Danio rerio: one gene and its partner. The protein of the gene in region 2 purifies or fractionates together with the protein of the main gene of each other region. This does not show direct contact. Links are inferred from orthologs where the notes say so. Each region holds a gene or a part of one and is shown on either strand. Other genes may lie near its edges.

Region 1 (3,659 bases), on a different chromosome or scaffold from region 2:
CAATAAAGACATCACTTCACCCACAAAACAAATCAAATCAACACGCCACCACCACCATAGGAGAATGCAGAACGCAGAATTGCATGAGGCTTTTAGTTTGCATCAGTAACAGCTGTTCTTTTGTTTTCTGATAGAACTGATTTCAAATGCACGGCTTGGTTTTCTTCATTTCATTAGCGCATGCTATTCATACTAAATGTGCAATGAATAGCTGCTGTTTTGTTCCCATTTTAATGTCTTTTATTGCTTTGCAAGTTAACGCACATTGCGGAGTCAAAGGTAAATATTTGCTCATTGCTCTACTCTTTCCTTTCCTTAAACTGTTGTGTCTCTTTTGACATTGATTTATTGATTTATTAAAGGGTTCACCTTGGTAATGAAAATTATGTCATCATGTACTCTTTTTCCACTTGTTCCAAATCTGTTTAACACAAAATCATATTTTCTTAAAGAATGTTGGAAACTGGTGGCCACTGGATCATATTATTTTCTTTTTCTAATATGGATGTTAATAGTCACGCCTGGTTTTAGACCACAACAATTACCAAGTGTCACATTACCTTCCCTTGTTTGTCGCAAATTACGTGACATCAACCGGACGTGGACAAATTACATGACATCACGTGGACTGAGCATGCTGTTGTTAATATTAAAAGGAACACAAATATATTTATGCTTTTTTGGAGTCAAACACTTTAAACAAAGCTTGAACAAAATTTAAGGCCACGTAAAAACTCAATTAAGACTTTTAAAAACCTTTTAAGGGCCTTAATTTTCTCATAATTGATTTGTCAACTTTTAATACTTTTTAAGACACCTTGTTTTGGATCTCCATCTGCTAAAAGCCACCATGTGTTCTTTTGTGTTTGGTCATAATAAGCTTACATAATTTATCATATAAGAAAAAAGGCCCACAGCGGCTTCTACCTCTGCTGTAAATTACATTTTCCTTTTGATATTTGGCACATATTTTCCAGAAAGTGATGATTTTGTTCTCTTTGACTTACTGGATAAAAACGCTGCTTCATTTGCATCGGTATTCCAGTTTTGCACATAAGTTTGAATGCAATTAAAGCTACCAGTCTCCAACATTTTCCCCTAATTATCTTCTTTTGCATACAAAGAAAGGAATTCAAACATGTTTACAACAAGTGGAGGATGAGTAGCCTAACTGATGACAGAGCCTTTATTTTTGGTTGAACTGTCCCTTTAATGTGGCTTATCCGTTTGATATCTTGCTATAAATTTGTTAGCAAGTTGCATAATACTTTAGTGTGTTGTTTGTTGTACTGGGCAGGGATTCTTACTAACACACACACACACATTCACATACTCATTAAGCTAGTCACTCTGGTATAAATGAGATGATAATGGCTTGTTTGGGGCTGCAGGTGGCCTAATTTGCAGTCTGTTTGCTGAATCTGTGTGTGTGCATGAGAGTGACTGATGTTTAGTTTGTAATTTTGTGTGTGTCCTTGTCTTTTAGCAACATCCGTCTGGTCCAATGAGACGGAAGTACAGCTCATGTTCGACGATCTTCCTAGACGACAGCACCGTCAGCCAACCCAACCTCAAATACACCATCAAATGGTACTAGAAACCTCCATATAACAGTAATAGAGCTGCGTTTCATTCATTTTCAAAGTTTAAAATGGCTTTTTTTAGGCAGTGAAACAAGGTTTTGATTTGCACAAGAAGAAATTAAGGCTTGCAACTTTCCTAAGCAGTGTTTATATATAATAACTGCAACACATCTGAGCTGATTCAGTGAGGAAGTGAGCTATCTGGCAGATTTTTATGTTAATGTTATACATTTTCCTCATGTGTACTCACTTGTTCTCTCTCTGTGTAACAGTGCCCTCTGGTTACATGCATGTATGAATTAATGTCATATAATCATATCTGTACTTTTAATGTTTTAATAAGCATACATACAATTCCTGTATATTGCAAAACCTTCTTAATAGCATGCTAACAACATTAAATAAAAAATATATTATTATTAAATTATTAGTAGTAGTAGTATTACTAATACCAGCATATCACTGCGATTTCATATTATTATTATTTATGTTTTTTATATTATTATTTATGTTTTTTACATTTGTTAGTTAGTTCTTCTGCTTGATCAACATGTACAGTCTGCTTTTTTATGTGCATTTTATGGTGATTAAAATGTTCAGTTTAGTCTTAATGTAATATAGGTATATTATTGATACATTGTCAATGTTTGACTAATATTTTGTTGTGTTTGCAGTGTCGCCCTCGCAATATACTACCACATAAAGAACAGGTATGTCTGAGATGACTCTCATCAGATCAGTGTGGGAGCCAAGGGAAGTGTGTGTGTGTGTGTGTGTGTGTGTGTGTTTGAATGATTCCACAACAGTATGAAAGGATGGTTTTGTTTTTGAGGATTGGATTGATGAAGTCCTGCAGTGTGTCGCTCTTTACAAAAACACACTGGAGTTTCATTTTACCAAGAGAGATCCTAATTCACTGGTCCACATGTGCTGCGGTGCACTGTGGGAGAGATTGATTGTCTGGTCTGCTAGTTCAGAGTGACAGACCTGTTTAGGAAAATGTCTATCAGTATGATTTGTACAATGAACTGTTTGTATGAGCTTTATTTGATTGGGTTGTGTCCGTGTGGTTTCAGAATGAGGATCTTACATTGGTAAATTCCTGCTTTGTCTGTCTGACTGTCTAGCTGTCTGTCTCTTTCATTCATCTGTCTGTCTGTCTGTCTATAATCCATCTGTCGGTCTACCTATATATCTGTTTATGTCTGTCTGTCTGTCTGTCTATTTATCTATCTAATATATCTATCTGTCTGTCTATCTATCTTTCTATCTATAATATGTATCTGTCTATCTGTTTTATAATCTGTCTATCTATAATCTATCTGTCAGACGGACTATTGTATATCTGTCTGTTTGCCTGTGTCTATCTTTCTCTCTGTCTGTTTATTCTTCTGTATATTAATTAAATGTCTGTATTCTTGTCTTTATTTATTTTTTGTTTATTTATCTATCTGTGTGTCTTTCCATCCATCTAACATCATGTCTGTGCTAATCCATTCGCGTTCACTCATCTGTCAATCTGAGTCAAAACTTTATTCTGTGTCTTTTTCTCAAACCCTTAACACCATATAAACCCTTAATGCTTGATAACCTTCAAACTTCAAAGCTGTTTTAAAGAAACTTTCAGGACACGGTTTGGGCCACATTGAATGTCTATCACAACAGACGTTTCTTTCCTGGTTCTTTAATGCATTATAAGAATACAGCTTAGACTGTCTTGCTTAATCTAATACCCATTCACTCTTCTTTCAGAAATGTGGACGGGCGAATGCTGTTAGACATTTTTGATGAAAAGCTTCATCCACTTTCAGTAAGTTTATTATTATTATCATTAAAATTATTATTATTACTGCAGCTTATATAAGCTACTGAATTACTCCACCTGTCAAAAGTTTGGGATTGGAAATTATTTATTTTGATCAAAACTTATTAATAAATGTATTATTTGATCAGAAATACAGTAATAAAACAACTGTAAAATTGTGAAATATTATTACAATATAAAATAGCAAATTTCTTATTGAATATATTTTGAAATGTAATTTATTCCTGGTATTTAATGAAGCATTTTAGCAC
Region 2 (3,659 bases):
GAATGATGTCGTGTAGCAGCACAATGTTGGCATGCTTCAGTCCTTTCAGCAGAGACGCTGCACACACACACACACACACACACGCATCACTTTCACCGTTAGCAATTTCAGAGGCCGATATACATGTACAGTCAAAGTCTGATTTATTAGCCTACCTGAATGATATTGTTTAAGGGGGCGAATAATAATAATGGGTTTAAAACAATTAAAAACTGCTTTTGTTTTAGCCGAAATGAAACAAATAAGACTTTCTCCAGAAGAACAAATATTATAGGAAATACTGTGAAAAATTCCTGAATCTGTTCGACATCATTTGGGAAATAATTGAGAAAGAAACAAATTTACAGGAGGGTTGTAACTGTAAATTATGCTGATTATTAACCAGAAACAAAACATTTTGCATTTAGCTTTACCTTCTCTGATGGCTGTAAATGGTGTTCCTTCTTCCTCCTGCAGACGAATCACTTTCAGAGCAACCAGTTTCCCGTTCACCCTGAAGACACAGAGAAACACACTTTTTAGCTTAAACTGATCTCTGGTACAGCAGTGATCCTTAGGAAATACCACAGTAAAAGTCTATTGGACCCCTGGCGATAAGAGAACAGACTGACTGCAAAGGCTTAATTCCCAGGAAACACATGAACTGATAATAATGCATGCGTTGACATTTTCTGTAAGTCACTTGAAAATGTCTGGATAAAAGTGAATCAAGCGCATAAAATTGTGTGAAAATAAAATAAAGTAAAATCACAAAAAATAAATAAATCACAATGAAATAAAACAAATCACAATAAAATACAGTAAATCAACAAATTCAAATCACAAAATCATAACAATATAATACAATAAATTATTATAAATTATAATAAATCACAATAAATCTAAATAAATACAGTCACAATAAAATAAAACAAATAAAAATAAAATCACAATAAAATAGAGTAAATCAAAATAAACAATCACAAAAAATTCAATCATAGTAAAAAATAAAAGTAATGACTATAAAATAAAATCATACCAATATAAAAAATTACAATACAAATCATAATAAAATAGTATATCAAAAAAAACAATCACAAAAAATAAAATAACAAAATAAAATAAAAAATTACAATAAAATACAATAAATCACGATAAACACAGTAAATTAAAATAAAACACGATTACAAAAATTAAATCACAATAAAACACAATCAATCACAAAAAATTCAATCAGAAACAGAAAAAATAATTATTAAATAAAGTAAAATATATTAAAGCCATGATAAAATTCAATAGAATAAAATAAAAGCAAAAGTAAAATTAAATATTAAATTAAATAAATCACACTAAATTACAGTCTCAATAAAATAAAATCACAACAAAAATACAAAAATCACATCAAAATAAAATAAAATACAATACAATAAATCACAATTATATAAAATATTTTTAGGGATACAAAACAGAAAAACAAATAAATAGTTTAGTTCAGTGGTGTCCAATCTCAGTCCAGAAGGGCCGGTGTCCTGCTGAGTTTAGCTCCAACTGGCTTTAACACACCCCTCAGAAAGATTTAATCTAGTATATCTAGAACATATAATTAAAATATAATAAATAAAATAAAATTACAGGAAAAAATGTTATAAAATAAAAATAAAATTGTATTAAATAAAGGAAAATAAATTAAAGTCATAATAAAATAAATTGAAATAAAAAGTCAACGTAAATGTTAAAATAAAAAATCACTATAAAGTACAGTCATAATAAAATATAATCATAAAAAAAATCAAAATATAATTAAATATTTTAGGGATACAAAATAGACGAACAAATACAGTTTAACAAAATAAAACAAAATATAGAAAAATGGAATTTGGAGAAATAAAATAATTCATAGGGTCTGGTTAATGAGTTTTATGAAATAGCTTTAATAACTAAAACAATCAGACATTTCATCATTATTGTTTTTATTAAAGTTTAATTAAAACAGTATAATCAAATCTAGATATACTTTATTAAAACAGAAAACTGAATAAGGGAATAAAGTGGAGCATTTAGGATATGGGATGAGATTTTATCCAGTGCAAGTTACAAGTCTCTGTTTTTAAATGGTGTTTAATCAAAGGAACTGATGAGTTTTTTCGGAGGTGGATTCATGCATTTAGTAATAAAATGCAGAGATCATTTGAGTGCAGGAAGATGTTAAAGACAATAAACAGAGTCACGTGTGATTTACTGCAGACTGGAAGTCAATGAGATGCAATTTAAAGGCAGTGGAGTGAATCTAAACGCAGAGGTCAAGAGCTTTAATAAATCAACTCACACACACACACACACACACACAAAAACACACACACACACACACACACACACACACACACACACACACACACACACACACACACACACAGCATCATTACTGTCAAACACACACATTGACGCTCAATTCATTTCACACCAACACAGATTTGATTTTACACGCTTTCATTTATGAAGGGAACACATGATTTCATGCTCCAGTTGAGAAGCTGGGGCTTTCTGTTAATAATTTTATCTTAACATTTTATATTACTTAACAAAATGTCTGATAAATGCACAAAATTGAGTGAATAAAGTAAAATATAATCAAATAAAATGCAATAAAAAGCAATAAAATTAAATTAAATAAAAATTAATAAAAAATAAATAAATAAATTTAAAAAGCAATAAAATTAAATAAAACAATAAAACAAAATGAAACAAAATGAAACAAAATGCAATGCAATAAAAAGCAATAAAAAATTAAATAAAAATAAATAAAACAAAAGACAAAATAAAAGACAATAAAATGCAACAAGACAAAAAACAAAGCCATAAAATGCAATAAAAGCAATAGAATAAATAAAATAAAAATAAATAACGATAAGCAAAGCAAAACAAAACAAAATAAAATAATATGCAATAAAATGCAACAAAACAAATCAAGAAAACAAAAGCAATAAAATGCAAAAAAGCAATAAAATAAAATACAAAATAAAAAACTACAAATAAAACAAAACAAAAAATAAATAAAATAATAAAATATTTTCAGCAAACAAATAAATAGATTAGATAGAACTAATGAATTTTATATCATAAAAAAATTGTAAAGAACATTAATGAAACCGTATTGTAAAGAGTGATCAACATTTCTGTACTGTTGTGCCATGATAAAGTCAGTAGGCATGTGTATAAATCAAACACACTCACTTGCTCTTCCCTTTGTAAACAGTGGCGTAGGATCCTTCTCCCAGTTTCTCCAGCTTCTCGTATGAATCCGCTTTGCCAAACTTTGGGCTTGTGGGCTGAAAAACAAAGATTAAACGATCAGTCCACTTACAGAATTTAACTTTCCTGCTTATTTACTCTCCTTCATTGCCACCTGACGTGTTTATTTCTTCTGAAGTGGAAAATACATGATGAAAATATGTAGAATTTCTACAGTACTTCAGATTAAGTGCAGCTTTAAACACTCTAAAGCAGGGAAGTCCAAACTCGGTTCTGGAGGGCCAGTGTCCGGCAGATTTCAACCCAAACTTACCTCAACACACCTGCACGGATGTTTCTAGAAAGCATAAATGATTACTTACCCCAGGTGTGTCTGATTGGGGTTGGGACTAAAAAAGTTTGCAGGACACCGGCCCTCCAGGACCGAGTTT

The links. Proteins that work in one complex are often made in the same cells at the same time.
Region 1: the proteins of cdk14 (region 2) and ccny purify together in Homo sapiens (affinity purification with western blotting; 3 studies listed by BioGRID and IntAct, with this or other methods). This does not show direct contact. The link is inferred for Danio rerio from reciprocal best matches to the Homo sapiens genes CDK14 and CCNY.

What each region holds. Positions count from the first base shown.
Region 1 is NC_133199.1:4,595,797-4,599,455, forward strand, and holds part of ccny (cyclin-Y), read left to right. Parts: intron 1-255; coding exon 256-279; intron 280-1,486; coding exon 1,487-1,590; intron 1,591-2,257; coding exon 2,258-2,293; intron 2,294-3,335; coding exon 3,336-3,393; intron 3,394-3,659. UniProt on the Homo sapiens protein: Positive regulatory subunit of the cyclin-dependent kinases CDK14/PFTK1 and CDK16.
Region 2 is NC_133191.1:58,424,474-58,428,132, forward strand, and holds part of cdk14 (cyclin-dependent kinase 14), read right to left. Parts: intron 3,306-3,659; coding exon 3,211-3,305; intron 494-3,210; coding exon 414-493; intron 58-413; coding exon 1-57. UniProt on the Homo sapiens protein: Serine/threonine-protein kinase involved in the control of the eukaryotic cell cycle, whose activity is controlled by an associated cyclin.